6 linked regions of the Macaca fascicularis genome follow. The protein of the gene in region 5 binds, or shares a complex with, the protein of the main gene of each other region. Links are inferred from orthologs where the notes say so. Each region holds a gene or a part of one and is shown on either strand. Other genes may lie near its edges.

Region 1 (4,292 bases), on a different chromosome or scaffold from region 5:
TGCTATGATTTTTTTAAGCATTCTATGACTTTCATAATCTATTATTAAACCGTCAGTGATTTTTATCTTTCCCCAGCAAACAGGAATACGTATTTCCCTTTTCTCTTTTACAGAAATGGGAACGTACACTAAATACAGTGAGCCCCACTTCCTTTTCTTTCCCCCCTTCTCTCGCCTGCTTTTGAACATTCCAGCAGCCTGATTTCTAAGATTGTGCAGAATTCTAAGAAACTATGGATTCACAGAGCGAAGAGAGGGGCATGTTAGTCACCACCTCCACCTGGTTCCTAAATTCTCACCACCTGGGGGTGACATGAGATATCCAGGCCTCCTCTCTACCCTTTCCCTAGTGGGCCTAGCCTCAGCCCTCCCCGCTCACACCAGCTGAGTTATTATTTGTCTAGACACAAACCAAATTATAGGCCCTGTCCCCGAGGGAACGGTGGGCTCCAGGCGGAGGGTCAGGAGACTGAAGCTGGAGTTAATCCCGGTTCCCCTCCACCTCCCTCCTTCTCTTCCCGAAACTCCACCCCTTCCACCCAAACCAACTCTTGCCCCTCTCCCTCCCCACCACCATGGTTTTGGAAATATTTTCTCTCCTCTGCTTCTAAAACCCTCTCTTCTGGATTCCAGCCATTTCTACTCACCCTGGCATCTCTCCCTCCTCATTGAGAAGACCTCTTTCCCCAAATTAATCCGGCTTAGTGGTAGAAGAAGCAGCCAGCTCTCTGGATTTGGGCTTCGGTTGAAAACTGGGGTCCCAGCCCTCCAGCCTGGCACTGACTCACTGTGGGGACTTCTGCTCTTGGGCCTCAGTTTCTCCATCTATAAAATGGGGTGGGGGGAGTTGGCCTAGGTGGCTCTGCAAACCCTTTCCAACTCTCAGCTGCCATCACTGAAATGTGCCAAGATTTCAACACTCCTCTTTTTGGATTGAAGGACTCCAGTATCCCCAGGACCTTTCATTGGAAGGATCTGGAATTTCCAGGCCTCCCCTCTGATCCTTCTTCCATCTAGGCCCTTCCATTAAAAGATATTCACGTTCAAGGTTCTTGATCATATGATTCCCAGGGTTCCGGGGGCCCCCATGGGTCTCTTATCCTCTTCAGCTGGGATTCCCCCAGAAAAGAAAACCTCCTCATCCTCACCCCAAACCTGAAGTCGAGTTCATCTACAGAGACAGATCTGGGGGTGGGTGCCCCCTTGGTGGGTTCAGGAGGAGGGGTGCTGATGATGGGCTCTGGAGGGGGCACTGGGGGGTGTGGCCCCATCTTCTCCACTTCTGCCCCAAATTCCCCAATGCACATCCAGCCCGAGTGCGCACACCCACATCCCACAACCGATGCCTCCCAGACATTCTAGGGCTGTTCCTCAGCCTAGTTTGGGAGGAGGGGTTGTCCAGTTCCCCGGGGGGAGAGTGAGGCGGAAGCAGGAAAGAGTTAACGGTGACCCAGCCAAATCCTGGAAGAGAGGAAGTAGGCGAGGAAGTTCACCCCCCAGCCAGGAATTCCTGAAATTGGCGGGCGGGGTGGGTGCGACTTCAGGGGCAGTGGGGTGGCTCCGGGAAGAGGGCGCTGGGGTCAGGGTGTCACTTTGAGTCCTCCTGCCCCAGGTCACAAGCCTCCTGCCCTCTACTCCCAAGCAGCTTCCCAGCCCAGAGGAAAGTTCCGGGATGCGGAGGATTTGGAAGGAGAGAAGACAGAGCAGAAGGTGCCAAAACAGGGTTATAAGAGACGGAGAGACAGAGACAGGGCAATAGAGAGAGACGGAGAGACATGGAGGGAGAGAGCAAAGAGATATACAGAGACAGGGAGAGATGGAGATAGAGGCAGACACATCCCCAGAGGTCCCACAACAGATGGGGGAGAGGCAGAGGCAGGGACAGAGGAAGGTGGGACCCAGAAACAGAGAGACAGAGACAGACGGAGACAGACGGAGACCGGAGAGGCAGAGATCAAGAAACTGACAGAGACATCCAGAGACACAGAAAGAAAGACAGGTCCAGAGGCAGAGGGACCACAGACACAGAGACACAGGCGGGAGTTGGAGACAGACGCAGAGCCAGGGAGAGCAACAGAGGGGGCGGGCGCCGAGACGCCGCGGGAGACTGAGGCAGCCCCAGAAGGGGCGGGGAGGAGCGGTCCCGCCAAGAGCAGGGCAACCTAGTGAGACCTCGCAGCATCGCGGGGGCCGGGGAGGGCCCGGCACTCACCTGCGCGCGGCGACTGGACGGGGCGGGCGGCGGCACCTCTCTCGGCTGCGTCCGGGTCTCCGGTCTGAATGACGGCGCGGGGACCCAGCGGATGCCCCCGCGGGGCAGAACAGCGGCTACTCCTCCCGGCCCCCGGGCCTGAGCCGTCAGCTGAGGCCCCGCCCCGGCCAGGCCCGCCCCCATTAACCCCACCACTGCCGCTGCCCCTTAACCCCTTTCAGACTTCACCCCATTCAACACCTCCAGCCCCGGGTGAGGCTCATCTGCTGCTGGAACACCCACTAGTCCTTCCAAGTCCCCAGCTGGAAGGTCCCCTCTCTCGAACCACACACCCCCAACTTTATCAGGCCCTCAGCTATGGGAAGAGGAGGCCCCCGCTACTGACCTTCCCTGAGTTGAGCCATTTCCTCCCGTAGAGACCCCAGGCCTCAGTCATTCATCTTCTGGCCGTTAACCTTCTGCATCTTCCGCCGGTAGGAGGGGGAGAACAAAGGGTTCTGTTAGGTCCCCAACTCCAAAGTCAGGGCCACCCCTAGAAGGAGCTCTGGGGTTGCACTTCCAGCCTGCCTCTTGGTCAGACCTTAGGCTAGTGACATCTCCGTGCCCCAGTTTCCTCTTTGAAACAAGGTGGTCACTCATGGTGCCTGCTTGCTTCCTTCCTTCTTTGCTTTGCTTTGCTTTGCTTTTTTCTTTCTTTTCTTTCTTTTGAGAGGGAGTCATGCTCTGTTGCCCAGACTGGAGTGCAGTGGCACAATCTTGTCTCACTGCAATCTCCACCTCCCAGGTTCAAGCAATTCTCCTGCCTTGGCCTCCCAAGTAGCTGGGATTACAGGTATGCACCACCATGCCCGGCTAATTTTTGTATTTTTAATAGAGATGGGGTTTCACCATGTTGGCCAGGCTGGTCTCGAACTCCTAAGCTCAAGCTATCTGCCCACCTCAGCCTCCAAAAAGTGTTGGGATTACAGGTGTGAGCCACCGTGCCCGACGTCTTTTTTTCTTTTGCCCAGTCTGGAATGCAATGACACTATCATGGTTCCCTGCAGCCGCAACCTTCCAGGCTCAAGTGATCCTCCTACCTCAGCCTCCTGAGTTGCTGGGACCACAGGCATGCGCCACCACAGCTGGCCAATTTTTAAACAATTTTTTTCTACAGACAGGGGTCTCACTATGTCTCGGCTGGTCTCAAACTCCTGGGCTCAAGCCATCCTCCTGCTTTGGCCTCCCAAAGTGCTGGGATTATAAGACTGAGCCACCGAGGCCGGTCATCATGGTCCTTTTCTCTTGGGGGTTTCATTTCATTGTGTCAGTGCTATCAAGGCTGTAAAATACGCCAACCAAACCTCAACACTCCCCATCTTTCTCTGCCTTACTTTCCCCCTACCCTTTGGGGAAGGTGACATTCTCCGTTTCCCTTATTTTTTTCTAGTTGTCTGCCTTCCTACCAGGAGGAGTGTCATTTTTGTGTCTGGCTTGTTTACTGTTGCATGTCTGTTGCCTACAAGACAGCTGGGCAGGTGATAGGTGTGAAATACATTGTTTTCGGGCTGGGCGCGGTGGCTCACGCCTGTAATCCCAGCACTTTGGGAGGCCAAGGCAGGCAAATCACGAGGTCAGGAGATCGAGACCATCCTGGCTAACACAGTGAAACCCCGTCTCTACTAAAAATACAAAAAAATTAGCTGGGCGTGGTGGCGGGCACCTGTAGTCCCAGCTACTCCGGAGGCCGAGGCAGGAGAATGGCATAAACCCGGGAGGTGGAGCTTGCAGTGAGCTGAAATCGCGCCGCTGCACTCCAGCCTGGGCAACAGAGCAAGACTCCATCTCAAAGAAAAAAAAGAAAAAAATACACTGTTTTCAGGGAGTGAACAAATGAATGATAAGTGCTCCTAAAACATTAGCTTATTTTTATTTTTGACTTTACATCTTTCATAAACTAATCGTGAGAATTCATTATTGGTTAAGGGACCTCAGATAGACGTGGCATACAACACTAAAAAATGATAGCTGTCAGGTTTGATTTTTTTTTTTTTTTTTTGAGACAGAGTCTTGCTGTGCCCAGGCTGGAGTGCAAGGACAT
Region 2 (4,269 bases), on a different chromosome or scaffold from region 5:
CCAGCCTGGGAGACAAAGGGACACTCTGTCTCAAACAAAAAAATTTGTTGAGGGAATGAGGGGCTGTCCTTTCCTGTTGTCAAACTGCTGGTTACACACACACACACACACACGTACACAAACATCATTCGATGAAGGTGTAGTGTGCATAATTTCTACAGGTAGGCACACAGAAACGCCCAGGAATGAGTGAAAATTGGAAAACTGGATAGAAGACTGGGCCAGATGCCAGAAGGCAGGCACAAACTGGGCCTTGCTGGTGCCCCCTGCCAGAGGGGACAGTGATCTACAGGAGCAGGAAAGACTGTGGAGTGTCCCCAGTCCCCCAGGGGAGAGAGGGCAGCACCTGAATTCTGGAGTTCTATCAAGGGAGAGACTGGTCAGGCTCAGTGGCTCACACCTGTCATTCCAGCACTTTGGGAGGCCGAGGCAGGAGGATTGCTTGAATGCAACAGTTCAAGACCAGCCTGAGCAACATAGCGAGACCCCCATCTCTACAAAAAACTGCAAAAAATTAGCCAGGTGTGATGGCGTACCTGTAGTCCCAGCTACTCTGGAGGCTGAGGTAGGAGGTTGAGGCTCCCGTGAGCTATGATTGAGCCACTGCACTATGGCCTGGGTGACAGAGTGAGACCCTGTCTCAAAAAAGGAAAAAAGGCCGGGCGTGGTGGCTCAAGCCTGTAATCCCAGCACTTTGGGAGGCCGAGATGGGTGGATCACAAGGTCAGGAGATTGAGACCATCCTGGCTAACACGGTGAAACCCCATCTCTACTAAAAAATACAAAAACTAGCCGGGCGAGGTGACGGGCGCCTGTAGTCCCAGCTACTTGGGAGGCTGAGGCAGGAGAATGGCGTGAACCCGGGAGGCGGAGCTTGCAGTGAGCTGAGATCCGGCCCCACTGCACTCCAGCCTGGGCGACAGAGCAAGACTCCGTCTCAAAAAAAAAAAAAAAAAAAAAAAAAAAAAGGGAGAGACCAATTTTGTCTTTGGGACAGGACATCGCACTTAGTAGGAATTTCATTATTTGTTGGGTGGGCATACAATAGGCACTTAATGCCTATTTGCAGCGTTGACACCTAGTAGGTACTTCCAAGGCTCTTTGTTGAGTAAATAAAGGTGACCTCGTGTTTTCTTCCAAGTCCAGGGTCCCGGGGTGAGCCCAGAGGTAACCTGGAGTTGAAGACAGCTGTTTCAGGTTGAGGCCACCTGGCCAAGAGTACTGTGACGTCACTAGGCTGCGTGACGTTTCCCGCTGGCCGGTTCTCACGGGTGGGGGCTGGGAGGGGCAAAGCGAGAGGTGGGGGGGCGGACAAAGGGGCCCTCCGTGCAGCTCCTGTCTGCCCCCGCGTGCGTCCCGGCCAGCCGGCAGGCCACATCTGGAATTCATTGCAGCCGCCGCCGGAAAGGGGAGGAGAGGAGGGCGGGGCGAGCGGGGGGCAGAGGCGGTGGCGGCTCACCCCGCCCCCCCACTGTCCCTCGTCCCAGCCCCGGGACGTAGCCGAGCCCGGCGGGCAACCCCAGCCCCAGCCGCGGCCGCCCTGGGGACGCAGACGCCAAGGCCCCTCCGGCCAGGGCCGGGAGCCGGGCCGGCCTAGCCAGGTGAGCGCGCGTAAAGACAAGGAAGCAGAAAGGGCGGGCCCTGGTCCCCTGAGGTCTCGGGATCCGAGCTAGGGGGCCCCGATCGGGAGGCTGGGGCGCGCACGCGCCGCCTGGGTTCCTGCTGCACAGAGCGGGTGGTCACCGTGCGCCCTCTCCAAGAGTCCGGGCGGCCCCCACTGCTTCGGCCGCGAACCCCCAGACTGTGCTCCCCGCCTTTCTCAGCGGCAGGAAGTTGGCGCCGGGGAGAAGGCGGAATCCGAGCGCTTTCGACTGGAGTCTTTGGGAGGCTGGACGCTGTGCCCGGGGACCAGGGTCTTGGGGAGTGTGTTTGGGGGAGGGGTGCAGCACCCCTCCTGGCTGACTCCTGCTGAGCGAGGGCAAAAGGATGTGCGCGCCTTGGAGCCTCCAAGCCAAGGGGCGGCACCCACGGGGAGGGCGGTCGCATGTCGGGCTGTCTGCCTCGGTTTCCCCAAGTTGTTTGCTCCTCCGGTTCCCCCGAGGGGGCGTGGCTTTGTTTTGGAAGGAAAGAAAAAGTGACTGCGTGGCTTAGGCGCCTCCTCTTTCAACTCCGGCTCAGGGATGGGTCGTGGGTGAAGGCGCGCGTGGCGCGGACCCCGCGTGGCCCCTGGCCGGGCTGAGCGTCGGAACTCGCCCCCTTCTCCGGCACGGGTTGACTCACCCGGGGATTTCCACCCCCTCTGTCTCTGTCCTTGTCAGATGCTCCGGGCGCCACGCGCTGAGCCCACGGTCCCCCGCGTGGGGCGACTCGGGCAGGCGCGGAACTCGCGGTGCAGCTGCTGCTACGATCTGGTCCCCCACCCCCAGTCTTTCCAGAATCTCGAGGCGGGACCCCTGGCGGGACGGAGAGGAGTCCTTCCAGTCCCGCTTGGAGACGTTGGGGTGGTCTCGTAGCGGTAGGGGGGAGAGGAGGCGTGGCTCCAGCGCAAGCGAGTGTGGATACCGCGCATTCCTAGGCCAGATAAGGAAGCCGAGAGTGCGGGTCAGCGCGGGGGCGGGTCCTGCTGCCATCTCCATGGAGACACGCTGGGCTTTGCCTGGTTGATGGTGGGCGGTGGGGGCGCTGCCCGGGGACCAGAGGTGTCTCCAGGCTCCTTCGTTGTTGTTTGGGTCTGGGCTGAAATTAGGAGATTCCACCCTTGGGAACCCACTAGGGTCTCCTTTGTTCGTTGGTTCATTCATTCATTCATTCATTTGCCCATTCCACACGTTTTCTGAGTGTTTTCTTTGTGCCAGGCATCCCTGTAGGGGCTGATAGCTGACTTGCTCCCTGGCCTTACCCATTGACTGTCTAGGTGGAAGCCAGACAGAAAAGGAGAAATATCATGATAGTTTCCCATAGTGGCAAGCGCTGCGCAGATAATAAAACAATATTCTGTGATTAGAACAGGCTTGGAGACAGCTGCTATTGTAGACTAGAGGTCAGGGGAGTCCCCTCTGAGGAAATGACCTTTAAATAGAAACCAGAAAGATGGAGAGACAGTCATTCGAAGATTTGGGGAAAGGCCAGACGCGGTGGCTCACGCCTGTAATCCCAGCAGTTTCGGAGGCTTTGGCAGGTGAATCACCTGAAGTCAGAAGTTCCAGACCAGCCTGGCCAACATGGTGAAACCCCATCTCTATTAAAAATACAAAAATTAGCTGGGTGTGGTGGTGGGTGCCTATAACGCCAGCTACTCAGGAGGCTGAGGCAGAAGGATCGCTTGAACTCAGGAGGCAGAGGTTGCGGTGAGCTGAGATCACACCACTGCACTCCAATCTGGGCAGCAGATTGAGTGTCTGTCTCAAAAAAAATTGAGGGAAAGTGTGCCCCAAAAAGAACAGCAGGGGCAAAGGCTTGCAGGTAGGGGTGGGGGTAGCATGGAGGAGGCTTAGTGTGGTTGGAGTGGAATGGCCCTGGGGGAGAATGGGAGGAAGCTTTGTGGGCAGGGGCCATGCTACTTGGGCTATAGGGAGCCATGGGAGGATTTGGAGTTGGGGAGTGACATGGAGTTATGAGTTTAAAAGCTCCCCCTGGCTGCTTGGTAGAGAATGGCAGGGTAGGGGGTCCTGACAACCACAGGGAAACCAAAAAGTAGGGTGGCTACCACGGGGGCTCCATGGGTGACCAGGGGGAACTGTAACCACAGGGCCTGCCTCTCTGGAACTGGGAGTGGGTGGAGAGGAGCTTAGAAGCCACTGAGGCTTCCTCCATCCTTCCCCTCTCCTAATCTCCAGCCAAACAGTCGTCTGAGTCTATCTTCCCTTCCTTCCAAACCCCATCACTTGTCCCTCCTGTTCTATTTCAGGCCTGGACATTCTATGTGAGCCCAGTGGCCTCTTTCTGAGCTTCTGAGAGGGAGTCAGGAAGGACTTGGTGAAGGTGACTAGGAGACAGGCTCTGTGTCCTTCTCAAAACCTGGTAACCTAACACAGGGAGGGGACACAGGCTAGGCCACAGTCCACCTAGGGGGTGACTCTTCCGCCAGCTCCAACCTCAGTGCCCTGCTTCCTCTTTCTGGGACGTGTCAACCACCTAAGTGCTTGCCTCAGTAAAGTCCTAGTGGTTAAAGTGAGGCTTGGATAAAATATGGGCCTCAGTTTCCCCTTCTCTAGGAGAGCTGCCTCTCCCTCTGTGAATGCCTTAACCTCCCCGGGCTGCAGAAGGTGA
Region 3 (3,500 bases), on a different chromosome or scaffold from region 5:
GCCCACGGCTTGAGCTCGGCTTGGGCAGGGCCCAAACTGATGACAGCACAGGTTGGCCCACGCTGGCACCACCTATGGAGACACCATGGCTGGCGCCAACTGTGGGGAACTCACCAGTGAATTCAGACCCTGGGGACTCCTCATGCTCTTCCCCACACACCCCCAGCTGCCTGCACCTGACTGTCTGGGGGTGCATGGGGACCTGAACCACCTCTTTGGCCCTGAGTCCCCAAGTCCCACCAAGGCACAGAGGCTGAACGTCCCTTCCTGGGGCTGCGGGACCTGAGTGTCCTGGCCTCGCTGGGTCTGGTGCTCAGTGACGAAGGGAGGCTCAAGGGCACCATCACCGTCAGGCCACTGTGTCCTGGGAGTCCCCAGAGGGAGTCACTCAGCCCACAGGTGGACGTGAGGCAGGAGGGCCCACGCTGGCCTGGGTATCAGGCTGCTGGACTCAGCAGTGTGCTCTGACAGCCAGAGTCACGGGAGGACGGCTATCTCAGGGCCATAACACCCAAGTCCAGACAGCGGTAAGGAGAGGGTCCCACGGGCAAAGATGCGGAGTTTCATTCCGTTTGGGGGGGCGGTGTTCTGAGCGCAGCCTGGCCTGGTTGGCAGCCTCCCGGCTCACACGGCTGACAGGTCTATGCGGTGGGCAGAGTGGCTGCTCTTGTCCCAGGGGCTGAGCTTGGTGGAGGCCGTGCCTGGCCGGGCCCCATTCATCTGCAAAGCATAAACGGATGAGCAGTGAAGGGCCTGCTCCCGGGGGAGAGCCATAAGCCCAGTGAGCACGGGGAGCACTGGGCCCACAGCTGCCTGAGGATTCTCCCTGCGGTGGGGCAAGGTGCATCCCCTGGGGGAGATGAAGATGTGTACACTGTGGCATCTCCACCTGCAGAGTTCTCCACACTGACCTCCCTTCCGGCACCACAAGCATGCTGTGCTGAGTGCTCACTCCCTCCTCTGCTCACCCATCCACCCGGCACCCACGCTTTCACCCCCGTGCATCTGTCCATGCTGGTGTCATTCCATGGTGAGTCATGGAGCGTGCCACGCACCTGGCACAGTTGTAGCTGTGGGGCTAGAGCAGTGCATGAGCCAGCCAGCTCCCGTGGAGCAGGGCAGACATGGTCCCTAAGCAAATGGAAAACCACACAGCTGTGGGTGGAGGCGGAGTGCAAAATTGGGTGGGAGTGCCTTGATTGAGCACCATATGCGGGGAAGGACTTCTGAGGATGGGACACTGGAGCAGGCTCCAGCAGGTGGGAAGCAGTGGCGCAGTGAGAACCCTAACAGGGCCGGCTCCAGACTGCCTGGGCTCTGGAGGGCAGCAGGGATGGGCCACCTCATGGTCAGTTGATCTCTAAGTCCTTCCATCCCTAAGTGAACACAAGAAGCCCTGACCCTTCAGGGTCAAAGGGGAGGGCTGTGGTGACTTCATCATGACACAGGGCACTGTGACGGGGACACGAGCCCAGAGCACGTGCAGCCTGCGGGCTGGAGTCAGGCAGGAGAGGGGGACAAAGACTGCTGGGCACCCGAAGCCACCTCTGCTGCCTGCACACCCCATCCTGCTGCCTGCACACCCCATCCTGCTGATGCACACCCCATCCTGCTGCCCGCACATCCCATCCTGCTGCCTGCACACGCCATCCTGCTGACGACCGAGCCTGGGGATGGAGGATGGGCTGGGACCCTCGGTTTAAGGAGGCTGCACTCACGATGTCCGAGTGGAAGGGCTTCGCGTTGGCTGTGCGGCTGGAGCTGCTCGTGAGGGACCAGACCTTGGTTTTGTGCTTGAAGGCAGCTCTCACCTTAAAAGCAGGGAAGGGATCACAAGAAGCAATTTCAGAGGCTGCAACAGCCGTAACCAGAGGAGTCTGTGCCAGTGCAACCCTGGAAGCAGATGTGCGGGGAAGGTTGGGATTTGGAAATAACAGAGTCGGAGCTAGTGGCTCCACAGCTGAGCTGTGCATCGCTGCTCTGTGTGGCAGACCCAGGTTGTGCCGCAGGCCAGGGAAGCTGGGTCTGGAGTGGACTCTGCTGGGCTCCTCACACACAGCAGTGAATGTCCCGGGGTGAGTGTGAGAGAGAAGCAAATAAATAAAAATGCGTGGCGGGCGGGTGGGTAGACTTCCATGGCTGCACGGCCTTCCTGCCACCCGGATCCACCTCAGGCCTTGCAAGGGGTCACTGGGTGTTGTGATCATGCAGCCCTTCTGCCCGGTCACCATCCTGCTCAGCGACTCTGCCCTCCTCGGCCCACTTGGCCTGTCCTTGCAAACGGACACCGCCACTGAGAGAGACCGGGCAGGGTGACCCCTCTGCCCTGGCCCATTCCCCACCCCAAGGCAGCTCCCACAACCTCAGCCTGGCAGGGGCTCAAAGCTGACTTGGGAAAAGTTCTCCCACAGGAACAGAAGTCCTTGGGGCAGCCCCTGCTTTCCCCCAGCCAAGTACATGGCAGGTGCCAGGCTCAGAGCAGCACCGAGAAGAATGAGCCTGTGCTGGCTGCCCCAGTCCAAGGAAGCCACATCACAAAAGTCCCCTTCCCAGCTCCCATGGACAGCAGTCCTCCCTCTCACAGCCAGGCCAGCTTCCCCAAGGCCTTGAGGAGGACTTTGGGGAACACGCCTGCATTTCCCCAGGATGCAGTCGCCACTTCTCCAGGGAGAGAAGATGCTTGTCCATCGCTTAGCAAGGAGGCAGGGAGAGAAGAGTTGCTGAGCAGCAGGCCCAGGGCACACAACTTGTCATCAGGAACACAGCTGGCTCAGGATTTGAGTCCCAGACACCACCCTGATAGGGCAACGCTATTCCCACTCCTGTGACCTTTCAGAAAGGAAAAGCCAGCTTCATACTGCTAGGAAGTAGAGTGGACGTACCTCTGAATTCAGGAGACAATGGAAGAGGAAGATGAACAGTCCCTGGGAAGGGAGGGAAGAAACGGAGATTAGAGCCCTTTGCATGTAGTTCGGAACACTGTCTGGAGGTTCCTCCCATGCAGCCTGAGAGTGACACTGGCACCGCACGCTGTGACACCAGGTCCCATGACCTGGGGCCTGTGAGGACGGAGGGGTGTCCTGGGTCCCACCCTGTGATCCAACCTAGATTTGGGCAGCTGCTTGGACCGAGTTCAGAGCGGGGGGGGCTGCGTGGGCAAAGGTGCAACGGCAGGTGGGTTCCCAGGCAGGCTCAGTGCGGGGCAAGGGCAGGCACTTCCGGAAGACGTGCCACCAGCCTGCAGACACAGACACAACTCGAGTAGCCTGGGGAGGGCCGGGAGGGCCATGGATGGTGAAGGGGACCCATGCTTGCCCTCCCTTGCGGGCCCATGGGTCTGAGGTCCCTGACCCTTGGCATCCCAAGTCTTTGGTTCCCAGGCCCTTCACACAGAGGGCAGCACCTGAGGACTGCCCTGGCCACCTCTTTGCCTGACTCTCTTTCCAGAGCTGCCACAGGCTGACTGTCTTACTGTCCCTCCATTCCCAGCCAGGACGTGC
Region 4 (3,500 bases), on a different chromosome or scaffold from region 5:
GTCACCAGCTCTGGAGACACCACATGGTAAGTACCTGACCCGGGGCAGGCAGTGCGTTGAGAACCCCACACCCCTGGCACATTCCTCTGTGAACATGGAGGAAATAAGGTTCTTGACATAATATTAGGCCATCTTTAATTTAAGTGGCCTTAAGATTTTAAACACATAGTAGCAATGTGTGAATTCATTATACTTTTTTTTTTTTTTGAGACGGAGTTCTGCTCTTGTTACCCAGGCTGGAGTACAATGGTGCAATCTTGGCTCTGTGACCTCCACCTGCCAGGTTCAAATGATTCTCCTGCCTCATCCTCCCAAGTAGCTGGGATTACAGGTGCCTGCCACCATGCCTGACTAATTTTTGTATTTTTAGTAGACCAGGTTTTACCACGTTGGCCAGGCTGGTCCTGACTCCTGACCTCAGGTGACCTGCCCACCTCGGCCTCCCATTACAGGCGTGAGCCACCATGCCCAGCCTCATTATACTCTCATTATACTTTTAATAAATTTACAAAGTTTAATTTTCAGCAGCTAAGAACTAAAATACAAACTTTTTTTTGTTTGTTTGTTTGAGACAGAATCTTGCTCTGTCTCCAGGCTGGAGTGCAGTGGCGTGATCTCGGCTCATTGCAACCTCTGCCTCCCGGGTTCACGCTATTCTCCTGCCTCAGCCTTCCGAGTAGCTGGGACTATAGGCGCCCGCCACCACGTCCGGTTAATTTTTGTATTTTCAGTAGAGACAGGATTTCACCATGTTGGCCAGGATGGTCTTGATCTCTTGACCTCGTGATCTGCCCACCTCAGCCTCCCAAAGTGCTGGGATTACAGGAGTGAGCCACCACACCTGGCCAATAAAGATATTTTAACTACAATCAGGCTGAAAGTACTGCTCTTCTGTTTTTTTTCCCATCTGTATGTCTGTACCTCCTTAGGTGATGCTAGGTGGGAGCAGGGTGGGTTTTGATTGTCCCTTTCTGATAGCACCGTGTCACTGTGAACAATGAGCACATACTAAAACTAACAGACGTCACAATTCAAGCGATTCCATCAGACTTCATTTTTAGTGTTTTCACCTTACAGGTGAACAGAAACCCACTTAAAACACTAGAAGTTTTTCATTTGTGGCATCAAAGTACTAAATTAAATATCCAGCTAGTTATTTTATGAGTCATTTTAGACTTCAGCTGGCCATGTGGGTTTTTCTGGTCTTCTGAGGCATGATTTGGTGGCAGGAGCTGTGTCCAGGCCAGGGCACAGACCTCTAGTCACGCAGTTGGTAGGGTTCACCGAGACATGGGTCCTTAACCAACTTATTAGCAAAGCATCTGTGGTATTATAAGGTGTCTCGTTGTATAAATTTCATAGATTTACAAAAGATTTGTCACCTAGATTGTCAATCTTGAGAAGACTTTATTTATTAGAAGATATTTTTAAAGCGCTTCTGTTCATTAATCATTTTTTTCAGACTCTCTTACGTATCTTGCTTCCCTTCTGCAGTCAGTCCCTCAGGCCCTAGAGAGGAGACTCCCTGTGGGGTGTCTGTTGAGATCGGCTGGTTGGATTTGCATTGCCAGGCCCAGCCAGACTTTCCTCTGAGGCTGACAGGAACGGACAGTGCTCTCTGGTGTTGCCTTCCGTGCGTCAAGGCACAGGAGAATAGCACATTTTTAGGCGTGTGGCCTTCAGAGCTGTCCTTACACCTAAGCCAGGCTTCTGCTCTGTGCAGGGCTCTGTCAGCGTCTCACCTTTTGACAGTTCGTTAAGCAGAAACACAATAGAATACCAGGTATGGCCGGGCGCGGTGGCTCACCTCTGTAATCCCAGCACTTTGGGAGGCTGAGGTGGTTGGATCACCTGAGGTCGGGAATTCGAGACCAACCTGACCAACATGGAGAAACCCCGCCTCTACTAAAAATATTAAAAAAAAATTAGCCAGGCATGGGTGGCACATGCCTGTAATCCCAGCTACTTGGGAGGCTGAGGCAGGAGAATCGCTTGAACCCGGGAAGCGGAGGTTGCAGTGAGCCAAGATCGCGCCATTGCACTCCAGCCTGGGCAACAAGAGTGAAACTCACTGTCAAAAAAAAAAAAAAGAATACCAGGTGTGATCACTGAGAACTCAGCTGCTCTCCTGTTTGTGATTCCAGGAAAGGGCAGGGGGACCTCAGAATTGCTGCGAGCCATTTGTTTACCTGCCATTGGCCTTCTCCTGCCTGCCTTTTCTAAGATCCTGTGGAGGGGAGGCCAGGGGAGGGCACAGAGGGAGCAGCCACAGGTAGAGTCGCATCCCCCTCCGCTATCCAGGGCCTCCCCATGGCTTCCTGCCACCCCCTCCATGCCCATCCATGACTGAAGAGTGGGACACAGCCTCAGTGTTGCTGCTTGAAAAGTGCCCCTAGCTCCCTCTTTGCTGGCGTTTGAGTTGAGGTAGTGATCCCGTCATTCTGAAACCCAGGCCGTGTGCTCATCTCTGTATAATTTTGCTTACTTTGCTTTGTTTCCCTTCCAAAGTTGTATTACATTTAAATTTGTCTTTAAACAATTTACGTTTTTAAAGTAACAGTGCAGAGGCTCACTGTGGCCCTGGGTGGTTTGAAGGACAGACTGTCATATGACTAGCCACCCGAGAAGTTGAGGCTGATGTCCCCTTGTCATTCGCTCCTGCTCCAGTGCCCTGTGGGACATCGAGACCGGCCAGCAGACGACCACGTTTACCGGACACACTGGAGATGTCATGAGCCTTTCTCTTGCTCCTGATACCAGACTGTTTGTCTCTGGTGCTTGTGATGCTTCAGCCAAACTCTGGGATGTGCGAGAAGGCATGTGCCGGCAGACCTTCACCGGCCACGAGTCTGACATCAATGCCATTTGCGTGAGTCTGGGTGAAGGTGTGGGGTCGGGGCCTCTGCTGTCTCTGCTAGCCGTTCAGATTGCTAAATTTTAAACTTTTCTGGATTAGATGTTCTCCTTTCTGATCCTTATACAACCTCGTCTGCAGATGGGGATACAGAAAACTCCCCGTGGGAAACGTCTCTATGTTGACCACTTGTCTTATAGATATTCACAGGGTGTCTGTTATGTGCCAGTCCCCGTTCCCACCTGTACAGCTGAGCAGCGGTTGGGATCCTGGAGGGGAGAGACAGTAAGGTAACTCAGGCCACCAGTTACCGGTTACAGAGCCTTACTGGTCAGGGGCACAGCTAACCAGGAAACCTGCTCTCCTCTTTAGCACGCAGATGGCTAGGCAGTGTTTCCAGCCCCTGGCCTTGTGAGGAGATGTGGAAGGATGTATCTGTTGGTTGGATAGAGCTCTGCTGCAGTCCTGACCACTGCCCTGCTCAGCCCACTTCGCTCCTTCCTCCATGAGATTAGCCCTGATGTCTGGCAGCTACAGCAGCATGCACACCTGTCAGTGATGACTCCTTTCTCACTATTCCTTTGAAATAAATTCTACTCTTTGGGGACAGTAATCACAGTGTCCAAGATCACAGTGTTTATGTGCT
Region 5 (3,500 bases):
AGAAAAATACTGCCCTTGGCAAGCTCCAAATAAACAAAACAATCCCACAAATGCCACAGTGTGGAGCTGATGGGACTGGACAGGACAGCAAAAGATATCTAGATGTTTGTGATGATACACAATGATTTCCTACAGTAAGGACTGGTCTTTACTGACCAACTGAGATAGGGCTTAAAAGTCAACTATATGACATTCTGGAACAGGTTAAGTTTATTTAGAGAGTTCTGTTACCAAGTTGCTTGCAGTTTTTAGTTGCTGCTATGGCCAGAATGTTTCACATATGGTACATTAAACTACATGATAATTAAATATGAGAAAGGCAAATGCTATTTCACTCATTACGTTTGACCAAAACACGGTAAATAGCATTTGCTTGCCTTTTGCTCTCCCGTACCACCTGTGAATTCTTCATCAGCATCAGACCAAAGACCTTATGTAAACTTGAAAACACGAAGAACATTACCTTCAGAAACACAGAAATCTAAAAGCAGAACAGCTGTTGTGTACACAAGCAATTAAAACATGAAGGCTAAACCTTCTATGAATCTACAGAATGCCATTTCTTAGATCAAACTTTTTTCTAATAGCCCTTACAAAATGGGAGGTCACCACAGAGTTAGGCAACAAGTGGCACTGCTGTGTGTAAGGCGGACAGAAGATACCTTACTTGCTTTGGAACTGAATATTCCTAACCTCATCCCTACAAGTATTTAAGGACACCTTTGATACTTGGCACTGCAGGAGAATTCAGTTTGAAAAGTAGAATAATTTAAAGCCTGAAATATGCCTAGTCTGAGGTCAGCTGGGAAGTTTTAACCGGACTTGAATAGAAGCCATGGTGAAACAGATCAAAGCCTGCATTACAGCAAATCTTGGCGATGTGTCACTCAACAGCTTTCAGCCACAAACCAAAGGCCGCAGAAAAAGTACTAAGATTTTCAAGAAGTTAAACATAGAATTAAGATTGTTCTAATTCTGGTTGTAAACTGCTATTTTAAAAAACAAAACAAACAGAAAACATCAAAAACACAAAAAGATATTAAAACAGCAAGTCTTTTGTACATCACTGTAGCATAAGCTGCTTGAGGTTGTCATGCAGAATAGTATCCTTCACATCACGGAAAACAAGGCGGATGTTCTCCGTATTGATAGCAGTGGTGAAGTGGTGGTATAAGGGCTTCTGCTGCTGGTCCCGGCGTTTGTTCCGGAAACATTCCACCAGGAATTTTTGGACGTCTCTTAAGCAGTGGGGATCCCCTTCAAATTCTAGGAAATAGTCTTTGATGCTCACAATTTGCACCTTCTCCTCAAGCAAGTCTGTCTTGTTTAAGAACAGAATTATGGAGACATTGCTGAAAACCCGGTTATTGACGATTGTTTCAAAAATGTTCAGAGACTCTGTAAGGCGATTGGTCAGTCGATCTTCCATAAGCACCTGGTCAAATTCACTTGAGGAAACAAGGAAAAGTATTGATGTGACACTGTCGAAACACTCAAACCAACGTTTCCTTTCTGATCTCTGACCACCTACATCAACCATTTTGAAAGGAACATTTTTAATTTCAAAGTCATATTCATGAATGCCTTTGGTGGGTCTTCTGGCAAGCAGAATATCTTGTTGTGATGGAATATAATCCTGGAAAAGGAAAAATTGTTTTATACTTAGCAATCCAGAAGTAATTCGAATTCTTAATGGACTACTAACTGGACTAGTGAATAGATATGCAACAAAATGACCTTTTAAATGACATTTTCAGATAGATTATGTTTACTATAAAATGTTAAGACTAGTCAGACATGGTGGCTCACGCCTGTAATCCCAGCACTTTGGGAGGCTGAGGCAGGAGGACCACTTGAAGCCAGGAGTTTGAGAGTACACTGAGCAATAGAGCAAGACCCCATTTGTGCTCCCCGCAAAAAAGCCAAGATACATTAAAATGTTAGCAGGATGGGTTCAAAATTTACTACAAATGGCCAGAATCTACTTGTTTTCATCCTCGCAATACTACTCCAAATTTAAGCTGAAGTCTTATCAATTGTTCTCACTCGCCCTCACTGCTATATATCTACCTGCAATTTTACTCCCCACTATTAGCCACTCTTGGTTCTAGCCAGAGTGATCTTCCTGTCTGCATATCCACCTTCTCCACACTGCTCCTTGCTCATCTATTAAAAGCCATGGGGGTTGGGTTCGGTGGCTCACACCTGTAATCCCAGCACTTTGGGAGGCTGAGACAGGCGGATCACGAGGTCAGGACATTGAGACTATCCTGGCTAACACAGTGAAACCCCGTCTCGACCAAAAATACAAAAAAAAATTAGCCAGGTGTGGTGGCGGGCACCTGTAGTCCCAGCTACTTGGGAGGCTGAGGCAGGAGAGTGGCGTGAACCCGGGAGGTGGAGCTTGCAGTGAGCCTGAGCTGAGATCACGCCACTGCACTCCAGCCTGAGTGACAGAGTGAGACTTCGTCTTAAAAAAAAAAAAAAAAAAAAAGGCCATAGGATCTGATTCCAGTGCCAATTCACAAGGATCACTCCCTAGTTCCAAGTTCTGCCCACCTCTCCTAACCTATTCTAAAAGTTCCTTTACTGTGCAACCCCACTCACAACTTAGAACTTCTATGTTTTCACTGCTGCTGTATTACGTGTGAAAAACCCTTTCTCTCCTATAATTAACTATGTTCCAGCTTTCTTACTTATTGACCCAAGAACTCAAACTAGTCACTTACTCTGAGTGCCAGCACCTGTGTCTGTGAAATGGAGGTGATCACACTTGGCCTGTCTACCTGGGAGGGAGGGCTGTTGCAAGGATCAAATGAGCTCTTCTCTGCACTCTTGGTCAGTGAACTGTAAGACCCCGAACAAACAGAAGCTGCTGGTCACACAAGTCACCAGCTACTCTGTGATGGCACACTTCCTTATGCAATGTAACTGGTTCTTCCTTCTTAGTCTAGCATTTTTCCAAAACTACAACACAGCTTTCTGGTACTACATGGGCAGAACAGCTAATATTTATCATCAAGGTCAAAATATTTTAAAAATCAAGGCAGGATTTAAAACAATGCTGACCGTTATTCACAATGCTGCACTTTATGCCTTTCTGAATAGTGTAATATGATTTTGAAATTTCATTACAACAAGAATACTCACTGTCTCAAAATACTGCAATGGAATTAAGAACATATATATACATACTTTTTTGAGATGCAGACTTGCTCTGTTGCCCAGGCTGGAGTGCAGCTCACTCCAACTTCCACCTCTTGGGTTCAAGCGATTCCCCTGCCTCAGCCTCCCGAGTAGCTGGGACTATAGGCGTGCACCACCACGGCCGGCTAATTTTTTGTATTTTTAGTAAAGATGGGGTTTCACCATTTTGGCCAGGCTGGTCTTGAACTCCTGACCTCAAGTGATTTGGGACGCCTTGGCCTCCCAAAGTGCTGGGATTATAGGCGTGAGCCACTGCGCCCAGCCAGAATTAAGAATTTTTAAAAAGTAGGTGG
Region 6 (4,063 bases), on a different chromosome or scaffold from region 5:
CACATGTGACATAATCATGCATGTAGAACATTCAGCTTGGCACAGTGGCTTAGGCCTATAATCCCAACATTTGGGGAGGCTGAAGTGAGAAGATCACTTGAAGATAGGAGATCAAGACCAGCCTGAGCAACATAGCAAGACCCAATCTCAACAAAACACATAAAAATGAGCCGGGCATGATGGTGCACACCTGTAGTCCTAGCTATTTGGGAAGCTGAGGTGGGAAGATCACTTGAGACCAGGAGTTTGAGGCTACAGTAGGCTAAGATTGCATCACTGTACTCCAGCCTGGGCAACAGAGTGAGCCCCTGTCTCAATTAAAAAAAAAAAAAAAGAAGAAGAAAGAAGAAAGAAGAGGAGGAGGAGGAGGAGGAGGATAAAGAAGAAAAAGAAAATCCTAAGGCAGAAGAAAAAGAAGAGGGGGAAGGCAGAGGATTGGGAGAAAAAGAAACTCCTAAGGCATTTACCAGAAAAGAACAAAAGAAGGAAAAACACTATGAATAAATGCATTATCAAGGTTACAGGATACAAGATTAATATACCAAAAAAATGCATTTCTGTATACTAGCAAAAAACAATTGGAAAATAAAACTAAAAATACAATACCATTTACAAGCATTGGAAAACAAAGTACCTAGGCACAAGTGGAAAACGTGTATGCTTAAAGTTACAAAATATTGCTGGGAGAAATTAAAGAAGATCTAAATAAATGGAGAGGGTTCAGCATAGTGGCTGAAGCCTATAATCCCAGCACTCTGGGAGGCCAAGGTGGGTGAATTGTTGGAGTCCAGGAGTTCGAGACTAGCCCGGGCAACATAGCGAAACCATGTTTCTACTAAAAAACAAAAATGCAAAAAATTAGCCAGGTGTGGTGATGTGTGCTTGTAGTCGCAGCTACTCAGGAGGCTAAGGTGGGAGAATCACCTGAGCCCAGGAGGTTGAGGCTGCAGTGAGCTGAAATCCTGCCATTGGACTCCAGCCTGGACAAACAGAGTGAGATCCTGTCTCAAAAAAATATATAAATTAAAAATAAATAAAAATAAATAAATGGATGGGTATACTATGTTCATGGATTGAAATATGTCAGTTCTCCTAATATTGATCTATGTGATCAATCCAATCAAGCATCAAGCATCATGCCCTATTGGTTTTGCTTCCTGGGTATTCTCTTGGTGTCCATCACCTCCCACCTAACCCAGGACACCACCTTAATGTCTGCAACAACCTTTTAGTTGGTCCTCTACTTCCAATTCATCCTCAAGACCAGCCAGAGAAAGATTTCAAATGTATGTATGTCAGGTCCTGCTTGAAACTGCGTAGTGGCTCCCCATTGCCCATGAGATAAGACTCAGGCTCCTTAAACAACACTCAAGGCCCCTGCTTACATCTCCAGCCTCAGCTATTGCCATATTCTCCAAGCCCACTCCCCACACTGCAGGCACAGAGAGCTTCTTTCCATTCCCTGAGGGTGCCCAGCCCCTTTCCTGCCCTTGGCTGACCCTCAGCTGGTCAAGGAATACCCCCCTGCCATTCTCACCTGTTTTTCTATGAACCCCCTGTCTGAGTCAATGGATTACCTTTGTGCAGACGGTCCTCCCTAATGGATCATGAATGCCATGGGAGCAGGGGTGAAGGACGTCACGGCCACATCCACAGCTATCAGCAGTGTGCCTGCCACTCCACACATGTGCTTAGGAGGCATCAGGATGGAGGGACAGTGGGCAGAAAGATGGTGGAAAGTGATGTGTCCACGCTTTTGATGTCCTCATAGGGCGTGGAGGAGAAGTGATGAGCCCATGTCAGCTGCAACACACAGACAGGCACGCAATGCCACAGTGCCCAATGTCACACCCATCCAGCCCCCAGCCCAAGCCTGGCTGCTCCTCCCCTGGCAGATTCATAAAGGGACTGGGTGTCCCAGGCAGCTAAGGTGGGCCAGCCTGAGCCTTGACCTGGGTGAGGGACACTGCATATGCTCCTGACGAAACCTACTAAACTTGGTGCATGTTCCCTGGGACCCCTGAGTGAGTGTTGTGGTCCCAGCACAGACCTGAGGCAGTGCTGTCTATGTGGACACTGCATGTTCCCTGGGAGCCCTAAGTGAGTCTTGTGGTCCCAGCCCAGAGCTGAGGCAGTGCTGTCTGTGTGGACACTGGCTCTGCCTGCTGGGGATTAGGGAGGAATGGCCAGGGTTTGGAGGTAGCACTAATCAGACGGCCTACAGGCTATGGTCAGAGCCCTGCAGCCATGGTCTGAGCTCCCCAGGATGCTACGGAGAGCCGAGAGCTGCTGAGAGTCCCAGGCCAGCCTGTCCTCCAAAGCCCTTGCTCCAAAGCCGAAAAGACCCTTCCCCGGGTGAAGCAGCACGTCCAGGGCTTCATGTTGGGATCCAAAGGCCCCAAATCATCCCCAGGAATAAAATGATTCTTCCATTCGTTTCAAAAGGCAGCAAAACTAGCTTAAGTATGGCAAAAATTAGGTGAAAACAAACAAAAAACAGCAAAACCAAATGAGGCCTCCCAAGGGACAGCGAGCAAGGCACGACCATGAAGAAAGCATAAGACCAGAGTTCAGGTCTGAACACCTTGGCCCCAGCCTGGCCGGCCGCATCCTGCATCCTGCCCAGCCAGCCCTGTCCCAGCCAGCCCTCTCCCCGAGTACTGCTCTCAGGGCACAGGATCTCGACACTCACCCCAGAAGCTCTGCTGCCCCCCAGGCTGGTCCAAGCCTGGAGGACTGTGAGAGAGATGGCGGAATCAGGACTGGGTAGGACACAGCTCCCGCCAACGAGTCACCAACTGCTGTGCCGGGAGCTGGAAGTGACGACAGCAAGGAACCCAGGCAGGTGGTGTGGGGCAAAGTCCACGGGAAAGGCCAGGAAGGAGGTGCTCTCACAGGACACACCCAGTCCTGCCCATCCGGATCTGCCAGGGCCACCCTTTGTCCCTTCCCGCCATGGTGGGGAGACGGTCTTCAGCCCACATGCCCCGCTCTGCAGGTCCACAGTACAGCCAGGGACCCCACAGCCCCGGACCCCATAGAAAGGCCAGGTCCTGCCTTCGAGCATTCCTGAGAGTTCTGGGTGCCCTGCCAGGGCTGGCACTGGGGAGACAGGTTGCTTTTCAGGGCAGTTCTTGTTTGCTGGGACGCAGGCCACTGGGAACTCAGCATCTGTGTAAGAGACGGGCCCTTCTGTGGATGACCCGTTTGTGTTCCCGAAATTCACATACTGAAGTCCTCATCCCCAAAGTGAGGAATGAGAAGGTGGGGACCTCTGGTAGGTGATGAGGTCATGAAGGCAGAGGTGTCACGAACGGGATGAGGGCCCATATAAAATGGGCCCCAGGGAGTTCCCTTGACCTTCCACCACGTCAGGACACAGGCAGAAGGCGCTGTCTCTGGACCAGGAAGCAGGCCCTCACCAGGGACCAGGTCTGCCAGTGCCTCGATCTTGGACGTGCAGTCTCTAGAATGGAGAGCAATGCATTACCATTGTTTATGAGCTGCCCAGGCTATGATGCTTTGTTACAGGAGCCCAAAGGAACTCAAAGATGGGCCCCGCCAAGGAACTCAGGCAGGTGCAACGCCAGAAGAGCCAGGAAAACTTAACGGGCTGAGGAAACTCTTCAGCTTTCTCTATTTTTATGTAAACCAACAGCCTTGCAGCAAAACAAGTGGTCAATAGGAGACCCAGTAAGTGCTTGGCAGACAGCCAAGAGAGGCCGGAGAGGGCAGGAGTGCTGGGCAGCGGCTCCCAGCTCCAGAGCACCCCTAGAGGCCCCTAGGTGAAACAGGCAGGGGAGCCTCACCGGGATCCAGGAGCAGGCATGCTGGTGCCGATGACAAGCCTGCTGATGGTCCAGGCAGAGCTATCGGCTCTGAGGCTGACAGGGGACTGAGAGTTTCTAGGTGGCCTCCACCCCATAAGCAGAGCTGTGCAAGGAGCCCATCCAGGCTGGCAGCAGCCACTGCAGAGTCCACCCCAGCAGATGCTGAGAGAGAAATGTCACTGGGTGGCCTGTGGCCCCTGGCCCAGAAAGCAGGAAAAGCCCCACAGCGCCCC

The links.
Region 1: the proteins of GNA13 (region 5) and GPR4 are in contact, whole or in part, in a cryo-EM structure (PDB 9JHP), measured with the Homo sapiens proteins. The link is inferred for Macaca fascicularis from reciprocal best matches to the Homo sapiens genes GNA13 and GPR4. Residues at the interface, in NP_006563.2 of Homo sapiens: Arg47, Pro341, Tyr343, Phe359, Lys363, Asp364, Ile366, Leu367, His368, Asn370, Leu371, Lys372, Gln373, Leu374, Met375, Leu376, Gln377; in NP_005273.1 of Homo sapiens: Gln45, Asn50, Arg115, Ala118, Val119, Ala120, Pro122, Leu123, Ala126, Ile204, Val208, Ser211, Val212, Ser213, Thr214, Glu218, Lys221, Ile222, Leu225, Asn290, Glu291, Gly292, Ala293.
Region 2: the proteins of GNA13 (region 5) and S1PR2 are in contact, whole or in part, in a cryo-EM structure (PDB 7T6B), measured with the Homo sapiens proteins. The link is inferred for Macaca fascicularis from reciprocal best matches to the Homo sapiens genes GNA13 and S1PR2. Residues at the interface, in NP_006563.2 of Homo sapiens: Arg47, Val216, Phe359, Lys363, Asp364, Ile366, Leu367, His368, Asp369, Asn370, Leu371, Gln373, Leu374, Met375, Leu376, Gln377; in NP_004221.3 of Homo sapiens: Ser66, Met68, Tyr69, Leu72, Arg130, Ala133, Ile134, Lys136, Val137, Lys138, Leu139, Tyr140, Tyr209, Ile212, Val216, Ser219, Gln227, Thr228, Leu231, Leu232, Val235, Tyr288.
Region 3: the proteins of GNA13 (region 5) and ADGRD1 are in contact, whole or in part, in a cryo-EM structure (PDB 9V0U), measured with the Homo sapiens proteins. The link is inferred for Macaca fascicularis from reciprocal best matches to the Homo sapiens genes GNA13 and ADGRD1. Residues at the interface, in NP_006563.2 of Homo sapiens: Val49, Val216, Phe218, Phe359, Val362, Lys363, Asp364, Ile366, Leu367, His368, Asn370, Leu371, Gln373, Leu374, Met375; in NP_942122.2 of Homo sapiens: Asn599, Arg601, Leu657, Met660, Val661, Ile662, Val664, Phe665, Ser667, Val737, Ile738, Ile741, Ala761, Val764, Asn810.
Region 4: the proteins of GNA13 (region 5) and GNB1 are in contact, whole or in part, in a cryo-EM structure (PDB 8H8J), measured with the Homo sapiens proteins. The link is inferred for Macaca fascicularis from reciprocal best matches to the Homo sapiens genes GNA13 and GNB1. Residues at the interface, in NP_006563.2 of Homo sapiens: Ser31, Ile34, Asp35, Leu38, Glu41, Lys42, Val45, Lys50, Gly205, Ile206, Glu208, Lys219, Val221, Lys231, Arg232, Trp233, Phe234, Glu235, Cys236, Phe237, Asp238, Ser239, Val240, Arg279; in NP_001269468.1 of Homo sapiens: Gly53, Leu55, Lys57, Tyr59, Gln75, Asp76, Lys78, Ile80, Thr87, Asn88, Lys89, Val90, His91, Ala92, Ser98, Trp99, Met101, Leu117, Asp118, Asn119, Tyr145, Asp186, Met188, Asp228, Arg314, Trp332.
Region 6: the proteins of GNA13 (region 5) and GPR35 are in contact, whole or in part, in a cryo-EM structure (PDB 8H8J), measured with the Homo sapiens proteins. The link is inferred for Macaca fascicularis from reciprocal best matches to the Homo sapiens genes GNA13 and GPR35. Residues at the interface, in NP_006563.2 of Homo sapiens: Lys46, Arg47, Leu48, Val49, Lys214, Asn215, Val216, Phe218, Arg331, Gln337, Gln338, Lys340, Pro341, Leu342, Tyr343, Phe359, Arg360, Asp361, Lys363, Asp364, Ile366, Leu367, His368, Asn370, Leu371, Lys372, Gln373, Leu374, Met375, Leu376; in NP_005292.2 of Homo sapiens: Phe45, Gln51, Thr53, Thr55, Met59, Asp113, Arg114, Ala117, Val118, Pro121, Leu122, Arg123, Arg125, Arg128, Ala197, Leu198, Arg201, Pro202, Thr204, Asp205, Gly207, Gln208, Ala211, Ala215, Met218, Val219, Ala280, Lys281, Glu282.

What each region holds. Positions count from the first base shown.
Region 1 is NC_088393.1:53,667,667-53,671,958, forward strand, and holds the start of GPR4 (G-protein coupled receptor 4), read right to left. Parts: upstream 2,801-4,292; 5' UTR 2,598-2,800; intron 2,279-2,597; exon of another isoform or gene 2,213-2,278; intron 826-2,212; exon of another isoform or gene 648-825; intron 1-647. UniProt on the Homo sapiens protein: Proton-sensing G-protein coupled receptor activated by extracellular pH, which is required to monitor pH changes and generate adaptive reactions. Activated by an optimal pH of 6.8-7.2.
Region 2 is NC_088393.1:10,782,064-10,786,332, reverse strand, and holds the start of S1PR2 (sphingosine 1-phosphate receptor 2), read left to right. Parts: upstream 1-1,469; 5' UTR 1,470-1,601; intron 1,602-4,269. UniProt on the Homo sapiens protein: Receptor for the lysosphingolipid sphingosine 1-phosphate (S1P). S1P is a bioactive lysophospholipid that elicits diverse physiological effects on most types of cells and tissues.
Region 3 is NC_088385.1:138,254,999-138,258,498, reverse strand, and holds part of ADGRD1 (adhesion G-protein coupled receptor D1), read right to left. Parts: intron 2,925-3,500; coding exon 2,883-2,924; intron 1,812-2,882; coding exon 1,719-1,811; intron 721-1,718; coding exon 497-720; 3' UTR 1-496. UniProt on the Homo sapiens protein: Adhesion G-protein coupled receptor (aGPCR) for androgen hormone 5alpha-dihydrotestosterone (5alpha-DHT), also named 17beta-hydroxy-5alpha-androstan-3-one, the most potent hormone among androgens. Also activated by methenolone drug.
Region 4 is NC_088375.1:233,006,564-233,010,063, forward strand, and holds part of GNB1 (guanine nucleotide-binding protein G(I)/G(S)/G(T) subunit beta-1), read left to right. Parts: coding exon 1-26; intron 27-2,667; coding exon 2,668-2,869; intron 2,870-3,500. UniProt on the Homo sapiens protein: Guanine nucleotide-binding proteins (G proteins) are involved as a modulator or transducer in various transmembrane signaling systems.
Region 5 is NC_088390.1:71,456,477-71,459,976, forward strand, and holds part of GNA13 (guanine nucleotide-binding protein subunit alpha-13), read right to left. Parts: intron 1,637-3,500; coding exon 1,064-1,636; 3' UTR 1-1,063. UniProt on the Homo sapiens protein: Guanine nucleotide-binding proteins (G proteins) are involved as modulators or transducers in various transmembrane signaling systems.
Region 6 is NC_088386.1:136,480,189-136,484,251, reverse strand, and holds the start of GPR35 (G-protein coupled receptor 35), read right to left. Parts: upstream 2,801-4,063; 5' UTR 2,693-2,800; intron 1,804-2,692; 5' UTR 1,578-1,803; intron 1-1,577. UniProt on the Homo sapiens protein: G-protein coupled receptor that binds to several ligands including the tryptophan metabolite kynurenic acid (KYNA), lysophosphatidic acid (LPA) or 5-hydroxyindoleacetic acid (5-HIAA) with high affinity, leading to rapid and transient activation of numerous intracellular signaling pathways.